Linked DNA regions of Pelodiscus sinensis. The protein of the gene in region 2 interacts with the protein of the main gene of each other region in a pairwise test. Links are inferred from orthologs where the notes say so. Each region holds a gene or a part of one and is shown on either strand. Other genes may lie near its edges.

What was found.
Region 1: the proteins of ATPAF2 (region 2) and FSBP interact in binary tests that used the Homo sapiens proteins (3 or more experiments, as listed by UniProt). The two-hybrid records come from large-scale screens. The link is inferred for Pelodiscus sinensis from reciprocal best matches to the Homo sapiens genes ATPAF2 and FSBP.
Region 3: the proteins of ATPAF2 (region 2) and PAK5 interact in binary tests that used the Homo sapiens proteins (3 or more experiments, as listed by UniProt). The two-hybrid records come from large-scale screens. The link is inferred for Pelodiscus sinensis from reciprocal best matches to the Homo sapiens genes ATPAF2 and PAK5.
Region 4: the proteins of ATPAF2 (region 2) and LRRFIP2 interact in binary tests that used the Homo sapiens proteins (3 or more experiments, as listed by UniProt). The two-hybrid records come from large-scale screens. The link is inferred for Pelodiscus sinensis from reciprocal best matches to the Homo sapiens genes ATPAF2 and LRRFIP2.

The regions. Positions count from the first base shown.
Region 1 is NC_134712.1:40,533,067-40,540,460, forward strand, and holds the start of FSBP (fibrinogen silencer-binding protein), read left to right. Parts: upstream 1-4,387; 5' UTR 4,388-6,282; coding exon 6,283-6,653; intron 6,654-7,394. UniProt on the Homo sapiens protein: Transcriptional repressor that down-regulates the expression of the fibrinogen gamma chain. Represses transcription of GSK3B gene promoter via its interaction with APBA1.
Region 2 is NC_134726.1:33,122,725-33,130,212, forward strand, and holds the start of ATPAF2 (ATP synthase mitochondrial F1 complex assembly factor 2), read left to right. Parts: upstream 1-4,482; 5' UTR 4,483-4,640; exon of another isoform or gene 4,641-4,692; intron 4,693-5,235; 5' UTR 5,236-5,252; coding exon 5,253-5,382; intron 5,383-5,455; exon of another isoform or gene 5,456-5,672; coding exon of another isoform or gene 5,673-5,757; intron 5,758-7,488. Other genes in the region: GID4 (glucose-induced degradation protein 4 homolog), read right to left, coding at 4,090-4,278. UniProt on the Homo sapiens protein: Plays a role in the assembly of the F1 component of the mitochondrial ATP synthase (ATPase).
Region 3 is NC_134713.1:190,345,286-190,353,025, forward strand, and holds the start of PAK5 (serine/threonine-protein kinase PAK 5), read left to right. Parts: upstream 1-4,733; 5' UTR 4,734-4,853; coding exon 4,854-4,904; intron 4,905-7,740.
Region 4 is NC_134712.1:173,017,380-173,024,834, reverse strand, and holds the start of LRRFIP2 (leucine-rich repeat flightless-interacting protein 2), read right to left. Parts: upstream 3,001-7,455; 5' UTR 2,851-3,000; exon of another isoform or gene 2,584-2,850; intron 1-2,583. Other genes in the region: GOLGA4 (golgin subfamily A member 4), read left to right, coding at 3,457-3,540. UniProt on the Homo sapiens protein: May function as activator of the canonical Wnt signaling pathway, in association with DVL3, upstream of CTNNB1/beta-catenin.

The DNA.
Region 1 (7,394 bases), on a different chromosome or scaffold from region 2:
GGTTTATCCATTTCCTCAGTCTGCATATCTGCATTTGCTACCTTCTGTTGAGATCGCCTGTTTACTTGAGTCTCTTCCAGCAGCTCTGCCTCTGTTTTCTTTGGAACAGATGCTTTAATGTTCAGAAGATTGGCAGACTTCTCTACAATAGCATTCCTTCTGAGACTATACTTGCAGCTCTAATATTTTCTCTCCACCACTCATTTAATTTGAGGGCAATAAAATCAACTTGTAGCCAATTCTAACATTTTTTCTGCTTCTTTGTGGCCCATCTCATTGTGGATTCCTTATAATGTGTGTCTTTGTCTAAAGATTCACTAACTGTCCCAAACCACATCTCTCCTCTAAACCTTCCCATATAAAATCCCTTCTGTTAGGAAGAGTTTTTTGGCCGTTCTTACAAGTATGGTTGGTTCTCATAGTTCTGCTACTTTTTCTCATTCTGATTTGGTCTATGGCAAGACTTCAGTAAGTGAATCACATATTCTTTCAGTCAGTGAAAATAGAATCTTGGGCACTTGGTCTTCCAGGCTATTGACTTGGAATGTGAAACTCAGGTGGTATGCTGTCCTCATCACAAGACAGTGTTTACAAATCCTGTAGTACCTCCCTCAGCTGTAGGGCTTTGCTCTTCCAGCCCATTCCTAGGGCTGGTTTTTACCCTTTAAGGGACAGTGCGGGAGAGACATCCCATCATAGTTACAAGATAATAAAAAAACTGTGGGAAGATTGGAGTTGTAGATAGAAAGTTTTGGGAAGAGATTAGGGTTATCAAATTAGGGATGTTAGCTATTATTTATTTTAGTAATCATATAGCCACAACAATTTTAGCAGTTACACAGTTATTAAAATACCCTTCCCCTCCCCCCCAGGCTCTGGGCCAGCACCCAGTGTGTTCCCAGCTCCTGGTCCCGCTCCCAGGAAACCCCTTGCCATCCTGGCTTCTGCCTCTGTATCAGAGGTAGCTGTGTGGGGTGGCTGACGGAGCTGGTCCCTGAGAGGAGCCAGTTTAAAAATCATACAGAGGCAGCAGTGCGGGGAGGCAGCAGCCCTTGTCTGTGAGGGGCCAAAGCTCCCTGTGGACAGAGGCTGCTTTGGCATCTTACAGAGCAGCCTCTGTCTGCAGCAAACCCAGGCCCACTGCAGAGAGAGGCAGCAGCCCCTGTTCATTGGGGGCCGAGTTTCCCATGGCAGAGGCTTCTCCAGCATCCCGCCTGTCCTCCCCTTCTACGCCCTGCTGCTGCTGCTACAGAGGCAGCAGCTCAGGTGGAGGAAGGCAGCTTTGTGGAGCTCTTGCTTGTGGAAAGCCAGCTTTTAAGCCAGCTCTCCCCCCGCACGCCAAGCACTGGCTCCCTCCTCCCCACTCCCCACTGCCTTTGTGCAAGGCAGCAAAAGGGGAGAGGCAGCTCTGCAGGAGCTGATATGTGTGGAAAGCCAGCTTGAAATGCTAGCTTCCTGCATATACCAGCTCCTGCCTGCCACCTGTGCTGCTGCTTCTGTGGGAGGCAGTTAGACAAGTAGCTCATTGGGAACCAGCACGCTCAGGGAGCCAACTTAAAAGCCAGCTCCCCATGGGCACCAGCTCCCGCCTCCTCCTTCAGCCTTGCTGCCTCTGATGCAGGAAGTTTGTTGCCTCTGATACAGAAGCAGCAAGCGGGGAGATGAGTGCATGTAGTTGTTAGGATTTACTGATAACCTCACTCTGATCGGTTAATTGTTTAACTGCCTATAAGCTAATATCCCTACATCAAATGAAGCCTTAGGATATGTCTCATTAAAGGGAAATTGAAAGGCTCCAGGCACTTTAATTAAGATTGTATAGACCTGACTGATTTCCCCTTATGTATGGGCACCAGTCTGTCATAATTGAACTCAGCCTTTGGATCCCATGGTGGGATGTGGGCTGTGGGTAGATCCTGTTATGATCTTTAGATCTGGGCTTATAAGAATAACTTCTAGGTGCAGATCCTTGCTGGAAACCTTTTATAGGGACTTGAGATCACACAGTCCACCTGCCCTAGTCCTCAAGACCTGTGCTGAACTTCCTAAACCTCTCCAGTTGCTGACGCTTCTCTGAGATCAAATCCATTTTGGATACTCTGGCCTATAGCTTAACTCTTTGGTGACCATTTGACAGGTAAAATAAGGAACACAAACTTTGTGCATTATTTTCTAAAACCAAGTAACATTCATTCTCAAAGCATACAAGAGTTACAGATCTTTAGGTGAAATAACAAAAACTTATATGCCCTTATGCCTTCTTGTAGTCCTCAGGACATAGTCCATGTATTTAAGTGTAGGGCAGTGGTCAGTGAGTGAGAGAGGGAGTGGAGTAGATTTTGACCTCAACTAAACTTTCTGTCCCTTCTGTAAAGTAATTCATTCATGACTTCAGAGTCCTACTCAGGTGGCTAAAGTCCTAGCCGCTTTTGGAGACAGACTGGGAGAATCAGTTTTTTGCCTTATTGCTCATTTTATCAAATTCATTTTCCCCGTAGTCATTCAGAATTGATGGCCCTCTCATTCAGGGCCAGACACACATACACTTGGGGTATGTCTTCACTACAGTGTTATTTCAAAATAGTTAATTCGAAATAAGTTATTTCAAAATAACATATCTACACACAAAATACATTTCGAAATAGCGCGTCCACACTGAGTGGATGCTGAATCACATTTAAGGCCAAACGGAACCAGGTCCAGCAGGGCATCAGGTCAGGAGTTACTTTGTGTGCCTGCTGCTTGAGGGTATCTGAGGCCTGTGCTTAAAGGGACCCCCCCCCCAACCCGGACAGCCGGTTCTCAGGTTTCCCTGCTTGCTTGCCTACCTCGATGAGGCACAGCAAAGCATTTTGCTTCTGCGTGCTCTGGTTGCCTCACTCGAGACACCACAGCACTCTGCAACGTGGAGCCAGAGCTGCCCTTGGGCACTCTGGTACCTCTTGTGGACGCGTTGCTGCAAGCCTGGCTGCACTTGCTGCAGGCTGCCATCTGGAAGGTCCATCAGGGGGCTGTCAGTATCCAGGAGGCCCTGCGGGAGAGCTTCCACCCTGAGGAGCACTAAGAGCCTCCCTGGTCTGCCCCACTGGGGGCTTGTGCCTCTTTCCTCCCTAATGTCCAATCTAAACCTCCCCTGCTGCACTTTAAGCCCATTACTCCTTGTCCTGTCCTCAGAAACCAAGAGGAACAAATTTTCGCCTTCCTCCTTGTGACACCCTTTTAGATATTTGAAAACCGCAATCATGTCCCCCCTTAATCTTCTTTTTTCCAAACTAAACAAGCCCAGTTCATGAAGCCTGGCTTCATAGGTCATGTTCTCTAAACCTTTAATCATTCTTGTCGCTCTTCCCTGTACCCTTTCCAATTTCTCCACATCTTTCTTGAAATGTTGTGCCCAGAACTGGACACAGTACTCCAGCTGAGGCCTAACTAGTGCAGAGTAGAGCGGCAGAATGACTTCACGAGTTTTGCTTACAACACACCTGTTGATACAACCTAGATTCATATTTGCTTTTTTTGCAACAGCATCACACTGTTGACTCATATTCAACTTGTGGTCCAGTATGACCCCTAGATCCCTTTCCGCCATGCTCTTTCCTAGACAGTCGCTTCCCATCTTGTATGTATGGAACTGATTGTTCCTTCCTAAAGGAACAATATCTTACTTGAGACGGGGTGCAGGATCGGGGAATCCCCGATGCACCGCCACACACCGAGTGCTGAGAGATCTCTCCCCCAGCACTCGTGTTTAAAATGCTACCACGGCTGCGTTTTAAACTTAAAAGTTTAAAGCCTAAGTTGCCCAGGCTTTGGTTTCAGCCTAGGGTGGCAGGACTTAGAGCTCTAGATTTCAGTACCATGTGGTGGTATTTTGGCTTTCTGCTGTGAGCCCCAGCAAGTTTATGGTCCTGATTGGCAGACTCCCTGAAATTCCTGAAAGAACCATTGATTCTAGATTAAATTGTCACACCCAGGAGCCAGAAAGCAAGGGGGAGGCGGGGACCAACTATCCAATAAGCTTTTTGCTTATTCAGTAGGGGTATGTCTACACTACCCTGCTAGTTCGAACTAGCGGGGTAATGTAGGCATACCGCACTTGCAAATGAAGCCCGGGATTTGAATTTCCCGGGCTTCATTTGCATAAGCAGGGAGCCGCTATTTTTAAAACCCTGCTGGTTCGAACCCCGTGCAGCGCGGCTACACGGGGCTCGAACTAGGTAGTTCGAACTAGGATTCCTATTCCGAACTACCGATACACCCCGCGCTGCACGGGGTTCGAACCAGCGGGGTTTTAAAAATGGCGGCTCCCCGCTTATGCAAATGAAGTCCGGGAAATTCAAATCCCGGGCTTCATTTGCAAGTGCGGTATGCCTACATTACCCCGCTAGTTCAAACTAGCGGGGTAGTGTAGACATACCCTAGTAGACTAGTCGCTTACATCCCTAGTCACACTCCAGTACCTCTTTTGCTATGTGGTATGTACAGTTGTCCATAGCATCAGTTTAAAATACATATGCCCATTTTCCTATAGCAATTATTACAGGAGAGTACAAAAAACCATAGATCGAAAAATGAAAAAGAAAGAAAACTATCTCAGTCTTTCACACTAGACATTACTACAGATGAAAAACAAAGTATTGGGAAAAGAGGGCAAGCTAAGCATAAAAACCAATGTTTTTACCAAGATAAGAGTTTTGTTTCTTAAGTTCTATCTGCAACGAGCTTAAAATCTTTTTTTAAGAAACTCTATTTAAACTTGTTTTCAATGTAGTTCCTGGCAAATGAGTGAGCACACTCCTACCTAAATCTGTCTTTATTGACTTTAGACACTTTTAACTATAATTAGATTTCTTTCCTTTCACCCCCATCCTAGCCTATGTTTTTCAAGGATAAACATGTTAAGCTTGAAAAGCTGTTACCACTAACTCTTCTAATCAAATTTGTTTTTTGAATCTCTTGACTTTTCCATCACGGACCTCTTTTTTCATATTTGGTGCTTAAAAATGTACACAATAGACACCCTACAAACATCCCCTTTTAAGTGGAACTATTATTTTTCTTAGCTTTTTAAGTTCCTGAGGTTTTTTTTAATTTTATTGATTTAATTTAGACCATGGATGTTTAAAACCTCGTACATGTATTTTTAAATAAGACTGTTTAAAGTGAGGTATCTTTGAAAAACATTCATTATGTAGAATTATACTGGTACAGCATGCACATCTTCTTAATAAAAATATTTGACACTGAAAGAATGCTTGAATGTGTTACCATAAAAGTAGATTGTTTCCTTGTGGATAATATGAAAATCCCAGTATCCACACACTGTAATACACTCAGTAAATCTGTCATGATTGAATGTAACCTTTATTACATGCAGGCTGGGAGTTAGATCATGCCATTTTTTAGGCACTGCAGACTGAATGTTGATGACATACACATTACAGCACAGGCATGTTCTAGCAGGGCACAGCTGCAGGCAGAAGCTAAAGAACAATTCATTTTTCATGTGTATATCTTTCTTTTGTTTTGACTCTAGATACATGTTTTATGATTAACAGAGACTGCTTTAAAATGCCCGTGTGTAGGTAGCTAAAGCAGACGGCAGAATGCAGGAGAAGCTTAGCTTTACTGTGAAGTCTGAGTGTAACCTAACTAGCTAGAGGATATGCAATTCCTGATTGACAGCAGGACTAGCATTATGCAAATGCTGTAAGAGCTAACAGCAGCTGGGAAACAGTGATCAGGGGCTCTGTTAGGGATCTCTACACACGCCACACTTATCTCTCTAGTTTTTATTTCTCCTTCTGCTGTTGTGATTTATTTCAACAATCAATAAATTACACAAAACATTTGTTGCTTTTTTGACGTTATTACATTTAAAATCTCAGAGCAGTTTCAGTTTTTCAGCTAGAGATCTGTGTGAGAGCTTGTTACTCAAACTAAATTGTGTTATTTTCAGCTGGACAACATGCTTATCTTTAAACCTTTCTGTTTTTAAATCCTGTGCATGTCTGGTCTCTTCATACTAAAGTGTATTTTGCTTGTTTCTTTCTGTCGTCTTCAGTTTGAAGCCTTATGTAGGTCAGGCTTGGCTTAAGCAGATTTCCTGAACCTGCGTCAGCTTAAGCTGAAGGAATTTTAATAAACCCTCCCTTGTAGGCGTGGGCCTAAATGAGACTAGCCTAGTTAAGCCTGATCTTTTTCTGTTTGTGAAAAAGAGCTGAGCAGAGCTAGGGACTGCATGGTGGTTTCAAAAACTGACTCCTTAATTCAGAGATAAGAATGGTTGGAAAGGCCAGATCTTCTAATTTTACCTTGTCTGAAAAGCTTGATTTGCTAAAACTCGTGAAGCCGTATGTTAAAATTCTTGAAGAACATACAAATAAGCATTCAGTAATAGTGGAAAAAAACAAATGCTGGGATATCATAGCCGATAACTACAATGCCATCGGAGTAGATCGCCCTCCTCGTACTGCACAGGGCCTGCGCACGCTGTACAAGAGGCTCAAAGAATATGCCAAACAGGAGCTGTTGCAGCAAAAGGAGACCCATTCAGATTATAAAAGCAGCATTTCTGAGCCAACCAAGAAAGTTGTGGAGATGATTCCACAGATTTCCAGTGTGTGTTTAAGAGACAGGAGCAGTTTACAAAGGTGAGATACATTTTACTTTGTTATTAAATTAAAATTATGGCGCCTCCTACCTACTCTCTAAGGTTTACTCAGTGTCCTAAAGCAAATACCCACAACAGAGCTGAAAATAATTGGAAACAATAGCTTGATACTATTTCCTTTGTTTCATGGTAACTTAACACTGCATGCAATTTTCAGCTGTTACAAAGCCTGTTTCAATGTCTTGTGTCATATTCTAGAAGGTGAGGGTTAAGAGGGAATCAGAAAAATAGTAGCTCAAACCTTAACCCCTCCCTCACCTTTTAGTAGGCAGATTGTTCAATCACTGATACTTTAAATGGAGGATAGCCATCACTTTAATACTGCACTTACCTTGCTGCATATAAAACTATTACCAGTTTACATAAGTGCCATATAAAGTTCAGGAAACCAAGGAGTCTATTTCATATACATGGTCTGTATAATAAATTACTCTTTTAAGCAAATATTGAATATGTTTTAACTCAGTCCAGACCTTAGACACTTTAGTCTCCATATAGTAAAATGCCTTTAACAGTACAAATAAATTTTTATAGATTACCTTTCATTCACTTGCTGACATTTTCTGAGACCAGAGCAAAGCAAATTTCTATATAACTGTAAATAATATGTGTCTTTTATGCTAGGAGGTTTGTAAACATATAGACAGAGATTGTGGAACTACAGAATTAGAAGTTTTATTTGATTGTTCTTTCTTTCTTTCTTTCTTTCTTTCTTTCTTTC
Region 2 (7,488 bases):
CATGCCACATGTTTTATAGCGAGAGTGTATCAGATGTCTGGCTTGCTGCTTATACACAATCCCACATCTCGCCAGCTCTGCTCACAGTGATCATGCCAATGCCTACAACTAAAAATAAAGCACCCAGAAACAATCACGCTCAACAGGAATGGGAGGGCTGCAGAGACAAGTGATCAGCTCAAATGAAAGCTGCAGCACAGCTGGCCCCCAACAGCTGCTTTTGCTACATACCTTTCTGGGACTGATTGCTTTGGTTTGCTCTAAGGCAGGGGTGGGCATTTTAATGCCTGCAGGCCACATTTGGCCCGCTATGCCTTTTGATTCAGCTTCCTGCCTGCTGGAGCCCAAGGCTGCTCAAAACAGCAGGTGGTTCCCTCTATGTGCTGCGCACTCCTGGCTGGGACAGAAGGGGAGACTTTGCATGCTGCCCTTGACCCCAGGCCAATCACCACAGCTCCCAATGGCCAGAAACCAACCAATGAGAGCTGTGATAATTGGATGGGGGTGGAGGCAGCATGTGAAGTCCCCATCCACCTTGCCGGAGTGTGCGGCACCTAGAGGGAGCTGCCAGCTGTTCTGAGCAGCCTGGGGCTGCGACATGCAGATAGGCTGCCTTGGGGTCCCTGGTGGGCTGCTGGCTAGAAGCCACCTAAGGTAAGCACCTCCTCAACAGAGCCTGCCTCTGGTACTCCCACCCCCTAATCCCTGCCCCAGGTCACCACCTAGACCCTCTGCAAACCCTACCTCCCCCCGCCCCAGTCACAACTCCCTCCCAGACCCTGCAATCCCTCCTACACCCCTCTACCAGGCCAAAATCCTTTCCTGCACTCTACCTCCTCTGGGACCCTGAACCCTAATCTCCTGCCCCAAGTCACAACCCCCTCCTTCATCCAAACTCTCTCTCAGACCCCTCTCTTGCACCCCACACTCTTCCCCTGAGATCCCTTCTTCACCCAGCCTCTACCCCAGACACCACACCGTCTCTATAGAAATGCAGCCCTTAATCCCGTAACAAAATCTTGGAGTGCCCTCCCCATCCAAAATTATTGCCCACCCCTGCTCTAAGGCCTGGTCCACACTTACAATTTATCAACCTAGCTATATGACTGAGGGGAGTGAAAGATTTGCACTGGATCACTGCATTTAAGATGACCTAGTTCCCAGTGTAGAAGCATTTAGACTGAGGTGTCTGTCCACTTAGGTTATCTCTACTCTTCAACCACTACAGTGGTATAAAGACACTGCTTCAGTGTAAACATTCCCTACAGAGATGGGAGGTTCCACCTCCCTGAGCCGCAGTAGCTTGGTCGATGGAAGAATACTGGGTTCAGGCAACTTATCTATATCTCTAAGGGATGTGGATCTTTCATACTTTGAGCAACACAGCTGGGCAGACCTGGCCTTAGCTACCACAGACCACAGAGCAGGATTAACTACCACAACAGAAAAAGCCCTGTTGCAGTAAGAAGGGATTACACTATACCACAATGACACATCTGCAGCCTTGAAGCTGTGCTGCTGACATGCCAGTAGGCACGGCCATTGTCCCCTTGTCACGGTGAGAGCCAAACACTTCCAAGACAGAGACAAGACATGCAGGGATTGTTAATCTCAGGGCTGAAAGGCTGAAATCCCCATGCAAGCCCCCAGGGCCAAAACACCTATGATCAACGTTTCCTCTAATCTTTTCCAACCATGTGCGGAATACATTTATACGTGCACAGAGGGATGTGCAGATGTGCACCACCAGTAGAAACAAAAAGCCTAGCTGTGGGACTCTGCTAATCACCGGGGGCGTCATTTGAATTTCTGTGCACAGCTTGGCAGTGTCTATGATGGCTGGAGAACAGCTTACACCCAGATGACAAGCATGTGATGCAGTAGTTTCCTCCCCAGCCCTCTTGATGTAGCCTGGCTTGCCATGCAACTACCCACTCAGCCAGTCCCAGCTGCTTTTCTTCCTCAACTGCAGCTGTGGGAAGAAGACTCAAGCTAGTTTCATTCACTTACTCTGTTCTACTCCCACTGCTCCAGGAAGGGGCAATTTGGGCTGTAGGCCTGATGGGTCCCTAGAAAGGTGTCACCTACCTTGCCCAGATCAGAGATTGTTTTTCTCTGTTATACAGCTACTCTTGAGTTTCAGATCCAAATTGGGGGCAAAGGGTGTTCTGGGGAAGGGGATCCACCCACATCACCTGCCCCTCGCAAGTGCTGCTGGGCCAGGGTACATCTGGAGTCATGAAGGCCTTCCCTGGGTAGGAAGGGTCCCTAACCTCCCCTGGACAGCCACCTCACAGACCCAGCCTGTGCTATTTGGTCTGGGGTCCCCACCTGATCTCTGAAGATGAAGTTCCCTAGAAGTGGGGGACCCAAAACAAAGGTCTTAGGAGCAGTAGGTCCCAATTTGAGGGAAGGGGTGCCTTAGGAATGGAGAAATCACATGAGGGGATGTTATGGGGTCAACATGGATACATAAAGGAAGGCAGTCCTTGTGGACATCTCAGGGACCAAGGACCCAATCTGAGAAAGAAAGATGCTTTAAAATAAAATATTGCATGTACCGATGTTGGTTCTTGATCTCTGTGAAATGGGGGAATTAGGGAAAGAAATCTCTATGGAGTAGTCATTGGAGGAGAGTTCTCAGGGGGCCTGTGAGTGCCTGGGTTGCACAGAAGTCCATGCTCTGCTGGTCAGAGGTCCTCCAAAGAAGGCCGCAGTGGGGCAGGAAGTGAACAGAAGAATCCCCAAGAGGTGCTCTAGGAGAATAGGGGGATCTCAAGAGAAAGGACCCTAAAAGATGAGACATGGGGTACTGGGGGAATCGGCGGGCGGGGGGGGGGGGTAGGTGCTGCTCAGGAGGTCCCTGGGAGACAGTCTAGGGTAGAGTGAGAGGGAAGATGCTAGAGGTGCTCTAGGAGGAGGCTGCTGGGAGAGCAGCAGAGGATGCTCTCGAGGGAAGTCCCACTAGGAAGACCCCAGCAGCAGACAGGGACAAACTAGGAAGTCCCCAAATGACGGCACTCTAGGGGGTGTCCCTGGGGGAGGACCCCAGGAGAGGTGCAGGGGAGCACTGGGGGGGGAGGGTGCCTCACAGCAGAGAGAAGCGCTCAGGTGGATTCCTCTAAAGGGAGAGACACTTGGGGATGGATCACTCATAGGAGAGCCCCAGGAAGGGCTACAGGGTGGTGGTGGAAGGGTTCCCTCAAGACGAGGGACGCTCAGGGGAGATGCCCCAAGGAGGAGAGATGCTGGGGGAGGGGGGTAGGAATCCCTGGTGGGAGAACTGCAGAAGGCGGCATCTTGGGACTGGAGGGGATGCCCTGGGGAGGGAGGGGCCCTTTGGGGAGGTCTCTGGGGGGACCCCAGAAAGGGAAGCAGGAGGGGGTGGCTCGAGGGGTGTCGGGGGGGAGGGGCGCTTTGGGGAGGTCTCTGGGGGGGCCCCAGAAAGGGAAGCAGGAGGGGGGGGCTCGAGGAGTGTCGGGGGGGAGGGGCGCTTTGGGGAGGTCTCTGGGGGGGCCCCAGAAAGGGAAGCAGGAGGGGGTGGCTCGAGAGGGGTGTCGGGGGGAGGGGCGCTTTGGGGAGGTCTCTGGGGGGGGCCCAGAAAGGGAAGCAGGAGGGGGTGGCTCGAGGGGTGTCGGGGGGGAGGGGCCCTTTGGGGAGGTCTCTGGGGGGGCCCCAGAAAGGGAAGCAGGAGGGGGTGGCTCGAGGGGTGTCGGGGGGGAGGGGCGCTTTGGGGAGGTCTCTGGGGGGGCCCAGAAAGGGAAGCAGGAGGGGGTGGCTCGAGAGGGGTGTCGGGGGGAGGGGCGCTTTGGGGAGGTCTCTGGGGGGGCCCCAGAAAGGGAAGCAGGAGGGGGGGGCTCGAGAGGGGTGTCGGGGGGAGGGGCGCTTTGGGGAGGTCTCTGGGGGGGCCCCAGAAAGGGAAGCAGGAGGGGGGGCTCGAGAGGGGTGTCGGGGGGAGGGGCGCTTTGGGGAGGTCTCTGGGGGGGATCCCGAGAGGGGAGAGATGTTGGGGGGGCGCCGGGAGGGGCTGTGGGGGTCCCGCCCGAGGGGGCGCTGGGGGACACGGGGGATGCCGGGGGGGGGCCGCACCTGCATCACCACCTCCACCTCGTAGGCGTTGCCCTTGCTGCGCTGCTGGCCGCGGAACTTGGCCCCGCTGTAGAGCAGGGAGGTGGCGACCCCGGGCTGCGCCGTGTTGATGGGGGGCGGCGGCACCAGGCTGGCGGCCCCGCGGCCCCGCGCTCCCCCCGGGCAGCAGCACTCGCTCCGCACCGGCATCTCGGGGGGGTCCCCGGGCGCCAGCGTGTCACGGGCTGCAGGGAGCCGGCCCGGCCGCCTTGCTGACCCGGGCGCTCGCCGGCTGCCCCCGCCGCCTACCTCAGGGCCTCCCGGCGACGCCTCCGCGCGCTCTGATTGGCCCAGCGGGCGTCGCGTCGGGCGGGGCGCCGTTCCCATTGGGCGATGGGCGTCACGTGGGGGCCGCGCTGGCTCCTGGGAATCGTTGTTTCTGTGAGGGCCTTGTGACAGGGCCCTCGGAGGGACAAAAAGCGTTTGTGATGCTGATTGGACGCTGGGCGAGCAAGATGGCGGCGCCCAGAGGCAGAGTGGCTGGGTAACCGGGCCGCGGCGGTGAGGTGGAGGCAGGTGGCTCGCAAGTCGCGTCCGTGCGGCCCCGTAGGGAGTGGGGCCCGGGTCTGTACAGTGGGCTCCGCGGGGGTCTGTCCTTCCCCTCCCGGTCCTATTTGTACCGGCAGGGGGCTCTGGGGGGGGGCGTGATCCCGGCAGGGGGCTCTTGGGGGGGGGGGGCGTGATCCCGGCAGGGGGCTCTGGGGGGGGGCGTGATCCCGGCAGGGGGCTCTTGGGGGGGGAGGGGCCGTGATCCCGGCAGGGGGCTCTTGGGGGGGGGAGGGGCCGTGATCCCGGCAGGGGGCTCTTGGGGGGGGGAGGGGCCGTGATCCCGGCAGGGGGCTCTTGGGGGGGGGAGGGGCCGTGATCCCGGCAGGGGGCTCTTGGGGGGGGGGCGTGATCCCGGCAGGGAACTTTTGGGGGAGGGGCCGTGATCCCGGCAGGGGGCTCTTGGGGGGGGGGCGTGATCCTGGCAGGGGGCTCTTGGGGGGGGGGCCGTGATCCCGGCAGGGAGCTCTTGGGGGGGGGGGGCTAGATGCTGGTAGGCCATCCCAAGGTGTTAGGCGCACCTGTATGTAACAAGTCCAGGCCGTTCCCATCTTGCTGTAGCTCACGGTCTCCCCAGAATGTGGCGCAGTTGCCAGCGGCTGTTCTACGCCGGGCTGCCTCAGGCTCCATGGCTGTGCCCAACACTTCCTGTTGGGGGCCCCAGTCTTTGGCTGCCGTGCATGGTACGGGCATACACGCCACCAACAGGTGAGGACAACGCTGGACAGCAGTCCTGCTGCATGCTCGGCAAATTTCAGCATGGTTATTTCCAATTGCAGGGATGTTTTTCAGTGGTGGAATTGACTAGTTGTAAAAGCCAGCTGTGACCACAGTTTATGAGAGGGATGTGATGCCCCGTCCCCCATTTACAGAGGAGAGCTCTGGTTTGTGGAATGGGCCCCAACTGAACATCTGAAACATCAAGCCCAACAACAAACATTTATTATGTGCAGAGGCAAAAGAAAATGACATCGCTGGCCCAGTGAGCTCAAAATCTAATGCCTCACGCCTCCTGCTGCCAGCATGTGAGCCTGCTGCTCTGCCTGCATACAGCCTCACTGAGTACCTGCAGTTCTATTTTAGGTACTGTTATGAGCTCAATCACCATGGCAGCTGAGTACCTCAAGTTCTTTAATCTACTCCTTCTCACAGCCCCCTTGTAGGGCTAAGCAGTGCTGTGATTTCCCACTTTATACAGGAGATGCGGAAGGACAGAAAACTGGAGGTCACACACAAAGTCTGTGGCAGAGCAGCAAATGAAACCTAGGTCTCCTGAGTCCCTTCACCCCAGTCCATCCTTCCTTAGTCGTAAAGTGGTGCTTTCAACATCTTTCCTCTGTGATTTCAATTGTTTGTATGAGGATGGTGAAATTTGATCCTTTGTTTCTCACAAACTAAGACTCTGAACTTGCAATGAAATGCACATCCTGGAGCCCCATTAAATCAGGACTTGAGGGGGTGAGGGTGTCTTGTTGCAGGATCAAGGCTGTGGGCGCATGCTTGAATAGCCTTAAAATATGGCATTCTTTAAGTCCCTTGATCCTGCAACTGTCTTGTTTCTAGGCAGTCTGCCTTAACTGGGACTCTGGAAACCCAGGGGCCCTGTGTGCACAGTAGATGTAGAAATGGAGCTGCAGTCCAGTAACAGTTGTTAACTCTAGAGATTATGTACATACACCTATGTTGTACTGCCAAGGCAAAGATTTGGAGAGGTTTTGTGTTCTCTGTGTTTTGTGTGGGAAATGGGACCAGGTGTCTGTCTAAATGGCCGGGTCTCTGTGTTAACACAGACTCTGGGAACTGGATCCACAGGGCCAGCCTATAGCTTTCAGTTTGGAATTTATCAGCTGTTGCTCTGCATGCCCTCAGAGAGCCTGTCTTCACGTGTTAATTCATTCCTACATTCCAAAGCCAGAAAGAACCATTGTGATCAGCTAGTCGGGCCTCCTGCATAGTACAGGCCCTAGAAGTCCTTTGAATTCATTTATGTTGCCTGTGGTTTTTGTGCAGGGTGGGCTGTCTGTCAGTGCAGGGATCTAACTGTGTTACATGTGGATGCTGTCAGGAAGTTAGCAGGTGCTGTTCATGCCATTTAGAAGTCTAATGGCTGTGCCTTGCAACAGTGCAGATGCCAAATGTAAATTGCTTCTAAAACTATGACCTGTAGCCCTAAAGGTAGACTTGCTATTTATTGCACCAGACATTCTCCTTGACATAGTGGGTGCAGCATAACGGGAGGTAGACCCTCAATATATTAAATTGTATGCTGTGGTCTACCTGGCATCTACGTGAACTCACTCAGGACATGGGTTTACAGTGTGTTGCGTGCAATGCTCCTGGATCCAGCCAGAGGGCGTTCAGGGCAGTGTGACAGGCTAGCTTGGCACTGTAATTTAGGGGCTATTCTAGATTCAGGTATATCATCAGCTTCCGCCTGAAATCGCACCAGAGGGAGCTGTTTTAAAAGCTGGCTGGATATTGGTGACCTGCCTTAACTACATGGGACCGATAGTACCTGCTGATTAGAGTTGCTGCTTCTCCAGCGGGTGGAAAAGCCATGGCCAGCTGAGCAATGCTCGACAGGTCACATTACTTTTGTTTCCAAGGTAGTGGCTGAAGAGCTGGGCTGATGCAGGGCTAGTTTAATATTCAGCCTGGCAAAGAGGGGCTTGCTGGTAGGGATTGCACCAGCATGTATTCCAGGCCTGTCCTGTTCTCTGGGGCCTCACATCTGTTTAATATTATCATTGGTCATGTTTATTACAGTAGTGCCTACAGGCCACTTGAGAGTGGGCCTCTACTAGCTGAGGTGCT
Region 3 (7,740 bases), on a different chromosome or scaffold from region 2:
CAAAACCTTATTTGCATGAGTAATCTATACTCCTACAAATAATCCCATTGATTTTTCACTCGGCAAAGATTTATAGGATTGGGTTCAAAGCAATGCTCTCTGTAAGCTATGCTTTTGTGCGGCTGCTCAGGAGACATTCAAATGCCGCCCAGCTGATTAGCAGAGTGCCCACACCTAGGTTTTGTGGTTTTATTTTGTTGGCCCTGTGGTGCACGTTTACACAAAATTTATTCTATATGTGGATGGAAAAAATCGTCCCATGGATGGGAAAATATGAGGGGGAACTTTAGTCCATAGGTTTGTAGCTCACAAAGGGTAATGTCAGTGACTGATTCATTTGTATCTTTGCTGATATTCAGAATTTTCACTCCATTTTAAAGGTGTTCTTGACAAACGGCAAAGGTACTCTGGTATTTTTTCCACTGCATGATTGATTTTAAGCAAGTGGGGAAAACAACTTTGACACTGATAAAGCTCGTTATGTTTTACCTCTTGTCCATTTACCCACATCCAGGGCTGCCCTTACCATGAGGTGAATTGAGGCAGCCACCTCAGGTGCCCGATTGGGAGGAGGGGGCGGGGTGCCACTAGGACCCAGAAAGAAGAAAATTGTGTTTGCTGTTGTCCTAAGTGAGGGGAATGGGGGTGTCATTTGAGCTCCCCGCCTCAGGTGCCAAAATGTTGTGGGCCAGCCTTGCCTGCATCTTAACTTAGTTATTTCCTAGCTATGGGTTTAATATAAATCTGGATAAAAGCTGAGTTATCAGAACTGGGGTGGGAATTTATGCCTATTGCAAGGATTTTGCCCATGAGAGTAACTGGATCAACACGTATGGTACGTTGATCATGTGTGTCATGTGGCGTGATCCTTTGTCTGACTACAAGTATCTGAAACGCCAGAGAAAAAACAGCTTGGGCTTGAGAAAGGAGCAGTTGTGGTTGCTGAAGGGCAATCCCCTTTCTTCCTAATAAAACCACACAAAATTTCCCCTGGGAGCTACCAAAGTTTACGGGCTCCCAATTTCAAGGGATCTATGGGGAAAACAAGAGCATACTCGGATTCCTCAAAGGATGGCTTAAGCCAATGACTCCATGACTCCAAACATCTAAGTTCTTGAGCATTGTTTATGGCCCTCCCCAAACAAGTGCCTAGAACCTCATCCAGCATAGGATAGTGCTGCCAGGATCCTGCTATGCTCATATTGTCCTCTGCACGGGGACTTACAGGGGCATTGTATAAACTCACTCTTGTGATTCCAGGGTACTTGCAATTATTTTAAAGGGAGACAATAGAACTGGAGACTTTGTGGCCAAAGGGGAGGAAAAACAAATAGGAGGAGATTTAAGGGAGAAGAGAACTTTTCATTTGTGCTTCAGCACCATCCAGAACAGTTTCAGAGGGGGAAGCATGTTAGGCTGTTGTAGCAAAAACAAGGAGTCCTGTGGCACCTTTTAAAGACTAACAGATTTATTTGACCACGAGTTTTCATGGACCAAAGCCCATTTTGTCAGACGCATAAAGTGGAATCTTCAGTTTGGCAGGGATATACGGCTACATGCAAAGTTGGGAATAGGTCACATCCACCCATGGCCTTGTTAGCATCGGGTCTTCACATAGTAATAGAGACTGTTTTAGCAAAAACCTCTGCATGTATCTGTAAATCCCTGCCAAACTGAAGATTCCACTTCATGCATCTGACAAGGTGAGCTTCAGCCTATGCTCAAATAAATTTGTCCGTCTGTAAGGTGTCTCAGGACTCTTTGTTCTGGATAAAAAAGATACAATACAGGCCTTTTCTCCAGAGTCTTAGGGTCGTCAAAATAGTGAAATACAGTGAAAACTTTTTTTTTTTTTTTAGCAATCACAAATCCCTGTTGTCTTCCTGCCTCTGCAATCAAGAGTGGTTTTTTTTTGTTTGTTGGCTTTTCTCCTAAAAAAAGAGAATTGTATCTCTTGAATGGCTTTGTTTTATGAAAAACAGTACTGCTGGTGAATCAAATGTTTCCTGTTTATCAGTACACATCAACCCGAGTATTATTTGCATGCACAGAGCACTATTATACTGTTTGATTTACGCAACATTGTTCTCTGAAATTGCTGATGCTGTGCTAAATTTCCTTGCTTTTTCAAGTGATGGAATAATAAGAAGGAACTCTGTGGTGCAGGGGGAGGAGGAAGGAGGAGAACGAGTTCCAGAGCGAAACTAACCAAGCCCTGTTATATGCAGCTTTGGAATTCTCACTGTCTCTGAACTCAGAACCGATTCCAATAGGTCTCTACGTCTCCTGCTTGCCACATGCGAAGGGCTGCCTTCTCCGGGGGGAACAGCATGTCCCACCTTCTCCCCTCTGTTCTCCTTACTCTTCCCCCAAGAAAAACCGCACATGCACACAGGAGCGTAGCTGTTGGCTTTGTGTAATTAGGAATTTCCCAGTTCTGCCCTACCCTCATCCCCCCCACCATTAGTCACTTGTTCCACTTCCATTTCCTGTGCCTATGGGTGCTAAGGTTGGTGAGATTTGTTCTTCATTTTTTCCACTCACGTGTAGATGTTTCAAATCTCAAACAGGTAGCTTCAGACAATCCTCTCTTACTTGTAAACAGCCTAGCAGAAGAATGTCCCCTATTTTCCCTCCTCAAAGTGACACCCAGAGCCGTAGTCCTGGGTTGAACAACCCCAAGTTCTACTGAAGGTACAATACATCACAACCCTACAGAGCCATAAACAAGCTTCAAACCACTAGGAAAAAACAGGTTGCCAGCTTCCTAAGGGAATTCATGTCCTCTAGCCTTGAAGAGGCCTGAAATACTGACCTTAAATGTATCTATTTTTAGGTGGAAGGGGGAGCTATTTTAGTTCACCTTCAGCACTTCTCTGTGAGCGTTGCACAGAGGATCGTTCTAAGTGAGTAGTCTGGCTTTACAGGCGAGCTCTGACAAAGAGTCCCAATAACTGTTTGTAAAAATACATAAAATAATGAGACTAGTTCTTCTGTGACCTGCTGGCATAGTGAGAACAGTGCAGTGGTGCTGAGGAGAATTTATCAGCACCAATTTGAAATGCCTTCCATTGAGTAATGCCGTTCTCTTATAGGCACGCTTCCCCATTCTGTTCTAGACCTCTTGTGATGGAACGTCCGGACGTGTATAGAATTACACACACACCCCTCCTGTGTACGTCTTCACCATCAATGTCTTCGTCTACCTCCAGTTTATGATAATTTTAAGTCCACATTTGCAATCAAACAACAGAAAACACCCTTCAAACGACCTTCCATTGTTAAAGTAACCCCTCTCGAAGCACAGACTTGCCTGAGCAGCCTCGCGGCCAGCACCCTGGCTTGCTTGAACAAGGAGATCTGGATTTTTGTTCCCGGCTCAGTCATTCACATGCTACATCACTTCCCCTCTGTGCTGCTCTTTCTCTTTCTTACAAGCATTTCTCCAACCCCACTGCCACACACATCCTTTCTTTTCACTTTGCTCTCACTAACTCTCCAAGACAAGCAGTGCCTCACAAGTTGTACAAGGTATGATTGTACAGGATTCAATTCCCTCTTGGGTCACAGACTATCTCAGTGACCCTGAGAAAGATACAAAACTGTAAGGAACCCCAAGAAATCATTAAATCTAATTCCCTGCACTCCTGGCAGAACCAAGCACCATCTAGGCCATCCCTGACAGGTGTTTAACTGGCTCTTGAAAATCTCCAAGGATGGAGATTCTACAGCCTCCCTGAGCAATTTATTCCAGTGCTTAACCACCACCCTCCTTGTAACACCCTTTGAGGTACTTGAAAGCTGTTACCATGTCCCCTCTCAGTCCTTTCTGTTCCAAACTAAATAAACCCAATTCTTTCAGTCTTTTCTCATAGGTTGTTTTTTTCTAGACCTTTATTCATTTTTGTTGTTCTTCTCTGGACCTTTTCCAGTTTGCCCACATCTTTCCTGAAATGTAGCTCCCAGAACTGGCCATAGAACTCCAGTTAAGGCCTAATCAGGGCAGAGTAGAGCGGAAGAATGACTTCTTACGTCTTGCTTACAATGCTCCTGTTAATACACCTCAGAATGATGTTAATGATTATAAGTAACTTAGCTTATCTAAGACAGTGAAATGCTCATCCATAATGGTGATGGGGGAGGGGTGGGAATTGTTTCTTGATGCCACCTCGGGTGATCAGCTAGCCCCTGAGCATGTGAGTAAGAACCAGCCAGCCCAATATATGAGCATCTTCTCTTGATTGCTCTCAATGCTGCCTTTGAGCACTGACCACCCCATCCAGGGTCCCATCTGCAGTTGAGGCCAGATCTGATGTTTCAGGGGGAGGAGGAAACCCCAGAATTACTGTCTTCTCAGATCTGAACTATATGGTGACTCCCCTGTAGTTCTGGGTCCTAAACATTTTTCAGTCTGGGTCCACTTCAGTTACTTAGCAACATCTGCAATAACTTGGTATTGGTGACTTGGTAAGGAAAAGTTTCTTTAAAAAACTACGTATATGCTTCCCTGAGGAGTCGATGGGACGGTGGTAAAGGTGAAAGAAAGCATGCATTTAACTACATACATGGATGACACTCAGGTTTTTGGGTTTTGTTTGTTTTTAAATCAGGGTCATAGAGCTGCTGACACATCCCTTACAAGTGTAATCTGTGCTTCAGGGAGGCTATTTTGTAGCGTTTGCATAAAACCGATCACATGCTGGGAAAGAAACAGGCACAAACGAAAGGCTCTCAGGATGCACTGTGCAGCTATTGCTGCAGCCTGAATTTCTTCCTTTGGTGGTATCTGAATGGAATACTCTAAATCAAGGGGTACGTGTCAATCTAAACCCTGAGGCCCAGCTATTTAATATATGGCTGTTACAGAGGCAGCTACTAGCCCAGAGCTAGAGGCCAGTCAAGAGGTAAGTGAAGCTTTTGACTTCTAGTACTATCCTTCCCTCCCTCATGTGTGTGGGGGGTGGATGAGCGGGGGTTTCCATTTGACAGCGTTACTATTCTATTTGTTCACGTTCTTATACTGCACTCATCACTTAGACATCCGCAGTTTTTCCCAGTCTGGCACTCTTGTCATGGGCAAGCGTGTTTTGGGGCCTTCCTTTGAACACATACTGACAGAGTTGGGTCTGAATTCCTTCAAGACAGAAGTCCATCAAAGATTATTCATCTTGGCTGGAGATTTGAGGCAAAAGGGCCAGTAGTTCCCATTAAAAATATGAAGAACGCAATGTCTCTGAAGTGCACCATTTCCTCCCCACCAAAAAACAAAATAAGGACGCTCAAATGATATGGAGAGGATTTTACCTGCCTTCACAGACTGCTTTACAGCAGTCCAAATTCTTAGGCTTGTCAGAATTCGATTTTTCTTGAGGGGTTTGTCATTCATGTTTGATTTTTAGAATATTTTCCAATTATAGAATTAAATGTTCAGAATCATGGAAGGGAAGTCAGACAATTATTATATTTTTTTTACTATCAGTAAAATCATTTTCCTTCATTAGTGTACATTTGAGAAATGTTTATTTCACCAATAAAAATCAAATCCTTCCAAGCCTAGATATGGTCAGACCAAAAGGCCCGAGAGTACCTCCCTCTAGACATTCTCTGAAAAACTGAAATTGAGCCAAGTCAAGGATTCCCAGAAGGGAATACTGGTAGCTCAGTCAACCATATAGATGTCTCCATGGGATGTACTGTCCCTTTGACAGTTTCCCTGAAAGTTTCAAAGCTATATTAACTGGATTTGGTTGTTCAATAGCTATTTGTGGCATTTATAAATCAGTTTTCCTGGTAGCCATCTCATCTGTTCAAAGCTAAAAGCTTTGTCTTGACAACTCCACTGTTTTTTGTGTGTGTGTGTTTTGGTTTGTTTGTTTGTTTTGTGTGTGTTGGTTTTTTTGTTTGTTTTGTTTGTTTTGTTTTGCATGCCCAGAATGCCCCTTTTGTATCCTTCCAGAAAGATCCAATTGTACTGTTGAGGTAAAACATGACATTCCAAAAGACAGAAAAAATATTAGGCACAGCAAGATGTCTTGTAACTGACTTGGCTGACTGAATGCTTCTTCTGAGATGCCATTCAAGGTGAATAAATGGGTCTCCCTATGAATTTTATCGATAGTCTTTGTTTTAAGGTTTAATTGAGGTACTCTGGGATGTAGACACCTCTCCATTGGATTGGAAAAGTTGCTTTGTATACGTCACTGAATAAACATCAGATGGTGAGAGTTTTCAATGGCTAGTGATTTTAGTAGGACAGTTGTCAGAGACATAAATGTTATTTCCCATTACTAACATCCATTCTAGGTCTTGTTAGCTGTGCATCATGCCATGTTACTTGATGGTGCAGTTTTTTTGATGGCTACGGAAGCCACCTAGAAAGAACTATCACTGCAACAGGGCGAAAGATCTGGTTTTCTGCAAAAACCTCACTGTCTTCAAAACTCACATCAATACCAGCCAGTTAAATCTGGGATGAATAAGACCCATCCGTTCAGAGTAGTGATGAAATAATCCAAAATGTGGTGACTCCTCTCGTTTGCACCTAAAACATTTGGATTCAAGGGTACTGTGGCGGGGTAGCCCCGCCCCTCCCGAAAGCCGCCGGCACGCCGCGGAAAGGGGGGGAGGACTCACCCCCCGGGACGGCACAGCCCGCCGCCCGCGGCTTCAGCGCAGGGAAGCCGGCGCACCGGCCGGGGAACGAGCCGGGGCGGGCGGGGCCGAGAGGAGCCGCCGGGACGCCGCAAGCATAGCAGGGGGGCTCACCCCCCGGAGCGGCACAGACCGCCGAGCAGGGGCGAGAACGGGGGGGCCGGCACCCCGGCCGCGTGACGAGCCGGGGCCGGCAGATAGCGCCGGAAGAGGACGGGGGCGGGGTGACGTCAGGGTGACGTCACATGACGCCCGGCCCGGGGAGGGGCCGCAGGCAGATGAAGGCACGGACGTCATCTGCCTGCGACCGGCGGGCCATTCAAAAGCGGCCGGGAGCCAGGCAAGCGGGGGAGAGGCCGAGGAGACGCTTCCCCCGCAAGGACCAGAGAGTGTAAGCTGGTGTTGGAGGCCCTGGGTGGGGGCCGAGGGAGCACCCAGGTGAACCGATTGGTTCCGGGGGAAGAAGTGGCCCAGGGCAGGGACGTGGACCCTGAGAGCAGGGGAGTTTAGGGGTCTCGACCCCCCCTGCTAGATGGGGAGTCTTTCCCTGACCTTAGGGCCCTGGGCTGGGGTCCAGAGCGAGGGTGGGCCCGGACCCCCTTCCCCCAACCGCCGTGGGGCACGCACAGAGTGAGTCGCGTGGAGTGGCAGACGACTTTTGGTAACTGAGGGGGCGGACTCAAGCCCCTCTGGGGGTCAATCCCCTACACGTGGTGGAGAATGTGGGTACGACAGGCCCCGAAACGGGGGTCTGGATGGGGTAAGAGAAATTAACGAGGTGTCGATTAGCAGGACACGATGGAAGCAAACAAGATCTTGGAATGGTGGACGGAGACTCAGAAAGTGCAGCAGCAGCAACAAATGCAAGCGCTACAACAGCTCCTCAACCAGTTCCAGGAACGGCAGGAGCAAATGGCGCGAGGGACACCGGTGACGGTACCCGGGGCAGCTGGAGGGCCCGGAGGGGGAGAGGGGGTCGGCACCCAACTACCTATACGCCTCACGAAATTGGGGCCGGACGACGACCCAGAGGCATTTTTGGTGACGTTCGAGAGGGTGGCCACCGCTGCGAAATGGCCACCAGAACAT
Region 4 (7,455 bases), on a different chromosome or scaffold from region 2:
GGGATAGCAGTGTCAGGAGTAGTAGGATAATTATTAAATCTGGAACTCAGATCTTATAAGCAAATAAAAATAAATAAAAATATACAGATATCCGTTTAAAATGTAATTATCAATCTGCACATCTAGGTCCCAATCCTACAAACACACATCCTTATAATCATGTCCACGAATATTAGACTAAGTGTGTTACGTAATGTCCTTCTCACCAACATAAATTGGTCCAATAAGAGACAAACTTTAAAGGTATTGGAAAAATAATCAGCATGTCACAGTTAAATAAGCTAGAAAAGGTAAATATTTCACACGTTTCAAGGGACCATTCAAGGTGAAGTGGCTGATTAACGTGGCTGTGATATTTGTTTCCCAGACCTAAAGAAGAGATCTGTGTAGCTCAAAAGCTTGTCTCTCTCAATTTCAGAAGTTGGTCCAATAAAAGATACTAAGGGACTGTGCCACCTACTTGCTATGCTTGCCACCCTCCTCCATTTGGCCGCTATACTCATCCTGTCATGGGGATTCTGGGGCAGCTGCAGGGGCCACAGGTTGAATGCAGGGCCCTCAGGCAATGTGACCAGGATGGGCGCAGGGCCTTCAGGCCACTGGCTGGGGCAGGCAGCGGCCACTGGGTGCTCAGTGAGCTCTGCTGGCTCCTCCATCCCTACCTCTTCCCATCCAGCTGCCTCCAGCTCTGCTTCTGCTTTTGGCTACTGGGCCCCATGGCTCCATAACCCAGCAGGGAACCGCCACCACCTGTCTTAGGCCACGCCGCTGTCCCAGGACAGGTGGCAGTGGTGGTTTCCCACTGGGTCACAGAACGGCAGGGCCCGAGAGCCGGAAGCAGAAGTGGGGCTGGAAGCAGCAGGATGGGAAGTATGGGCATGGAGGAGCAACAGAGCTTACTCAGTGCCCTCTGTGGCCGTCCCCCACCAAGGCACAGCTGCCCACTGGTAGGGCCCGGTAACCAGAGCAGGAGGATGTGGGATCTGGAGCCTGGCAGCAGGTGGCGGAGCAGAGAGCTGTAGCTGCTTCCCATGGGGCCCCCGGGGAGCCCAGACAGGAGCCACCACCACCCCCTGATCCTCCTGCAGGGGAGCTCGGGGCCAGCAGGCCGCACAGGGCACCCCCCAAGGAGGAGCTGGCAGAACAACCAGGCTGGGCCAGGAACAATCCCCCCTCCTGCCAGAGCCCCCAGGGTCCTGCCTCCCCGCTGTGCCCATGTCTAGCCCCAGGCTTGCTCCTGAAGGATGAGACAGTTAAGGAAGGTGTGTCTAGCCTCTGTTTGCCAGAAACTGGGAATGGGTGACAGGGGACGGATCACTTGATGATTGATTACCTGTTCCATTCATTCCCTCTGAAGCACCTGGCATTGGCTGTTGCTGAAAACAGACTATTGGGCTAGATGACCTGACCTAGCATGGCCAGTCTTCTATACTTCTAACAATAAATGTACCTGTTTCTTGATTTAAAGTGATAATGCCAACTTGAATGGCTACGTCTAGACTGGCATGAATTTCCGAAAATGATTTAATGGAAAAGTTTTCCGTTAAAAGCATTTTCGGAAAAGCGCGTCTAGATTGGCAGGATGCTTTTCCGCAAAAGCACTTTTTGCAGAAAAGCGTCCGTGGCCAATCTAGACGCGGTTTTCCGCAAAAAAGCCCTGATCGCCTTTTTCACGATCGGGGCTTTTTTGCGGAAAACAGCACTATGCTGGCTACACTGGCCCTTTTGCTCAAAAGTCTTTCGGAAAAAGACTTTTGCCCGAACGGGAGCAGCATAGTTTTTCCGGAAAAGCACTGATTATTTTACATGAGATTGTCAGTGCTTTTCCAGAAATTCAAGTGGCCAGTGTAGACAGCTGGCAAGTTTTTCCGCAAAAGCTGCTGATTTTCCGGAAAAACTTGCCAGTCTAGACACAGCCAATATGTTTAAATTGACTGATTTTGAAAAGTCCAGTTTCTCATACAGCACACATCCTGGAATTTCTTTTTTAAAAATAAGAAGTCTTTTTTTCTGTCTCCTAAAAGTGTTTATAGGAGTCAATGAGAGAGAAATTGATAGACTATGTGGGGAAACAGTGGAACTAACCGAACACAAAATGCTATCAAATAGGTAAAATAAACTGTAAAGAAAAGGGGTGGGAGTTTTGCTAAGTTATTTTATTTTAATTATAGATGTCACTTGTAACTTTAGTAGATACAAAATATTTCATGGACATTTGTCCTGAGTAGTGCTTAAGGAATAAGGCCCTCATCCCATTATGCATTTGAGCAGAAATTTTACTCACATAAGTAGTTGCACTAATGTACATGGGACACCTCACAGTTTTAGCTTTAATCATGTGCATAAATTTCAGTGGTTAACTATTTTGATTTGAGGCCCCACCACCCAGCTCTCTGGCTCATCTGAACCTGGGGCTGTTATGGCCCAGTATGGTTGGCCATCGCTTGAGTTCACCTGCAAGGACAGGTTAACAGTTAAGCACACCAGTACGTATGCTTACTGGTTAACCAATTATCATCCCTAGGAATCATCACCTGATTATTGCTGACTGACAGGAAACAAAATGTTTCTTGTATCAATTAGGCACAGAGCACGAGACATTTAGGCATCATATACTGGAAAGAGAGTAACTGGGGGAATGTCCTTCTCTCACTCTACACACGTGTGGCCAAAATTTGTGCGCTAAAGATGAGCCACACTCTGAACTGGCAACAGAGGAATGTTCAAGTGCCGCGGACCCGATTCCCCTCTTATAACTATTTCTAGAGCATCAGTTTCCTTTGCCTATTTCTCATTTTCAACAAAAAACTGACGGACCCCTATGTTCTTGCGGTACAAACAGGAACCTACTGGGCGGAGTGGTGGTCGCCTGTCGAGAAGGTGAGTGGTGCGGCGGCGGGTGGAGGCGTCCGCGGGGCGAGCTGCCCATTGTCCTAGAAGCTGGAGACGGAAAAGGCGGATTAAGTCTCACGTGGTGAAGAGTCTCCTAGGGGATCAGGTAAACCCGTTCTCTAAAAAGGCACGTGCAGGGCGTTGCTCCAGGCAGAGGGGACTGAGCTGCTCAGCGGCTCCCTCTGCCTTTCGCCCATTGCCGGGCACGGCCCGGCCCAGCCGCCAGTCTCTTCTGGGAATCGCACTCGCAGGGCTGGCGGCGGTTTGAGCCTCGCTACTCGCCATAGCGTCCTCTCGTCTCAGTTCCACGTTGGCCGCGCAGGCGCAGTGGCTCTTTGTTCACCTGCCGGGGTGGGGGATCCCGGAAACCGCTGCGGCGCTGGCTGATTCCGGGAGCGTTTCCCGGCTCCCAACCCCCCGTGAGCCCCGGGCCGCCGGGAGAGTGGAGAGGGAAAGGGACGCCCCGCCCCGGAGCCACAGGGGGGGGATCGGCAGTGGGGGCGACTCCCCGTGTCCCCCTCGGCTCCCCCCTCCTCCCCGGGACCCTCGGGGGCTGCCGTCGCCATGTTCAAGAAACTGAAGCAGAAAATCGTGGAGGAGCAAACGCAGCCGCGGAGCCCCGGGGGGCGAGCGCCCCCGCACCCGCAGGTACCTCGCGCGGGCCCCTGCGCATCTATAGCTGCTCTCGGGGGCAACCATGGGACAGAGCCTTAGGGCTCGGCCCCCACTCGCTGCGCTGTGATAATGCTACTGCTGTCCGGGGCTGTCACTCGTCACCTGCCTCCGGCAGAACGGCGGGGTCCTCAGTCAGAGCTTCTCTCTGTGGCCTCGAGCAGCCCCGGCTTCGTGCTGTGAGTCTGCCAGAGCTGCGTGCTCACTGCTTACTCCTTTTACTCCTCTTCCCCTCGCAGCTTCATCAGTAGTTCCATTCCCTGGCTGGAAGCTCACAGTTATTCAAATATACGTGTTACAACTTTCTGCAGCGCTACAAGGAGACGGAACTCTTTCTGGGACTTTTCTTTGCTCTCTCTGTCTCGGCTTTAATGTAGGATACACAATACCTAGATCTCTACTTCTTGGTACGATCTTGTATGTTAGATTAAAAGAGAAATCATATAAAGTGAAAAGTGGCTGTCAGAAACAGAGACTAGTAGTTCTTATTCAGGCAGGACTCCCATGGAAGTCCTGAGAGATTATATGGGGTTGTATAGCATATTAACAACTCTAGATAATCTCTGTTTTCCTCTTGCAAAGTGAGCAAATTACCCCCAGGCACATCAGTTATTTCACAGAAAAGATGTGCAGTGTGCTTTAAAAATAAACCCCAATGAATTTAGTGCTATTGAAAGTGAAACACCAAATCTTTACTTGGACACAGTGAAAAATCCCCCCCATCATTCTCCATCGTTCCCAACATACAACATCTACATTGTTATAGCCTTAAATAGGGCATGCCAGTCATGCTGAATTGTGTGATGCTCTTCAAGTCTTTTAGAGAATGCTCAGCAATGATTTTCATGTTAACTCAGTTTTCAGAAGTAGACTTCTTGTCCTGCCTTCTTGTCCTGCATTCTAAAGAGATCTTGTATGTTGTCAGGTTAGCTAGAATAATGTGGGTGATGAAGCTATTGAATTTTTAGCATTTAAATAATTTAATATATTTTAGTTTACATCAAAGCTTACATTTCAGCATTTTAATTGGTTTTCCTTGTCACGCTATCCTATATAGCATGGGTCTCAAACTCTCAGCCTAGAGGCCATTTGCAGCCTGGGTTCTTTCTTAATCTAGCCTGTGAAATACTTTGAAAAAAGTTATTTAATCAGACCTGTGTGGCTGCTGGGTGGGGAGAGGTGGGCATCACACAGGAGCTCACCCTTGCACATGGCTCCCACCAGCATTCGGGCCCCCCGCACACACATAGTCCTGGCCTTCACTGTGATGCAAATTGTACTGGCCACGCTGACTCACTTCTGCAGCCATCAGGGTGGGGCTGGTGGATTTTGCTTATGGTTACCCTGGGTGGGGATGGGGATGGGGATCCCAGTGCAAGGATGTGGATATTAGCAGTAGGGAGGCAGCTGGGATTCCTAGTGTGAGGGTACAGATGTTAGCAGAAGGACATGGAGCAGAGATGTCAGAGTGAAGACTCATTTTTATGTCTTTTGTAGGATCCTAGTTTCTGTCAGTGTCTCCCCTTGTGCCCAGGAGCCCAATCACCTTGCATGTACTGTTTTGCTAAATTCAAGAGTTCAAAATTCATGAATAGGCCCCTGCAGACAACCAAAAAGAGAATTAATTCTTGAAATCACAGATAAAAATACACTTGGGGATCTTTGTATTTGGCATCTGGTGTTTGAGGTCTTTGGCTGAACTTGGGACAAATTTTGTAGCTTTTCTCCACAAACCATAAGACTTAAAAGTCTTTCTTAAACAAAAAGAAAAGAAAAAGAAAGAAAGCTGGGATTGTTTTTTAATACCATGTATTAATAAACAAGCATAATCTACTAAATCAGAGCGATCATAGTTGATAGCGGTGCATGAGGCATCAGTTAGTGAAGTTCCCAGATATAGCTTCATTTTCATAATGTGCTTTCCAGGGTGGGGAAAAAAAAGCCCCAATCATCAGCAGGCTTGAGATAAAATCAGGAGAGTTGACATCACTGATATCTAGTCAGTTTATCAAAATGAGTTAATAGTTTCACATCTTACACCTATGGATGGGACAGCTCTGTACAAACCTCCCCTGGGCCACTGGGACAGCATGGAGCTAGTAGCAGGAAGACACTCTAGCCCCATGTCACTGTCGGTAATGGCAGGGGGCATCAGCAGGTTTTAAATCATCTGGGGCAGCAGGTGGGGCTGGGAGATGCACGGGGGAAGGGGAGAGGGGGGAAAAGGAGGGAGTGGAGACACTCCTCCCGACCCTTGGAGCCCTGCCAGAAGTGGGTAACCACTCGCCTGCAAGGAGAATATGAGGACTGATACTGGTCCTAAGGTAAATTGAGTTTGTGACTACTGCTATATAGTATAGTCTGCTAATAGCTGTCTTTAGAGGTGATTAAACTTCAACATAAGCTGTTAATGGCATCTGCATTGTAGAGAAAATTATTTTTGTATGACTGCATCTAAGGGTACGTCTAGACTACAGGCTTTTGTCTACAGAAGTTTTGTCGACAAAGCTTTTGTCGACAAAGAGCGTCTAGACTACATTCAGTTCTGTCGACAAAGCAAGCTGCTTTGTCGACAAAACCATGTAGTCTAGACACAACCCTAGATGCAATAACACCTTCTGTCGACAGAACTCTGTCGACAAAAGGCGTTATGCCTCGTAAAATGAGGTTTACCAGCATCGACAAAACTGCTGAGTTCTGTCGACATTATGTCGACAGAACTCAGCGGTAGTGTAGACGCAGGTATAGTTTTGTCAACAAAACTCTGTAGTCTAGACACACCCTTAATGTTGAACAGTATTTGATAAATGAAGGAATCATTAACTATTTAAAAATCAGTCTCATCACGCTTTACCAAATCTTGAACTTCAGTTTTGTGGGTCTAGTTATTTTTCTGTCTTCGTGTATTTTTTCCCCGCTGGAAATCTGTCTTCTCCCATGGTGCTTTTAACTTTAAAGAAATTAAGAACACACAAAAGCACCTGTACTTCAGATTTGGTTACTTAATCTTAGGAACTTGTACTTCTTGATTATTTAAGTTTCTGTTAATATTACTAACATTTTAAAATATTCATAGACTACTTTAATTTCTATATATAGACTGCTTGGAATCTGTGGACATTTATTGTATTTCTGTTGCAGATTATAAAACATGGATAACAGGGACTGCTCCAGCCCAACTGGGTCCACCATACTATGTTGTGACTCGGGGCTGCTCTGGTCCAGACAGAGCAGGCATCAGCCTATGGTTTGATGGGTTTTGCCTGGTTTGGCTGAAGCAGCCCATGGTGTGGCGGGCCCAGCCTGGCTGGAGCAGCATCCCCACAGCCCAGCCCACAGGATAATGGTTTAACCAGTTAAACATTTTATTTAACCACTTAACCACTATTTTACATTCCTAATCATACTAAAAATTGTATCCTGTTTAGTTTGTGACAGTCAGTGTGTGTTGAGGAAAAAGGATTTAGTATGAATCAATGTCATGGTTAAATTTGTGCCTGACTGTGGTAGTGGTGTTTTCACTAGCATAGTGTATAGTATAGCTTTATTTGACTCCTGAAATATCATTTGGAAAACTTTGTGAAACTGAATCAAACAGTTTATGTTAAATAACTCTTTTATTTATTCCACCATACTGTTAGTTATATGATCTGTCAGAAATCTTATGAAATGATTTAAACCTCTCCAATTCCACAATGAAAACAGGTATGTTTAGTTTTAAACATTCTCCTGAAGTACCAACAACTCCAAAATTGCACTACTGTGTGAAAATGAGAGTGAAATTTGACTGGACAAGAGTGGAGTCGACTAATCTGCTAACTTTTTACGTATCGTACAGTTTGGGCAATGAAAGCAAATGACTTATATGAAAAGGTATAGTATCGCCCCTGA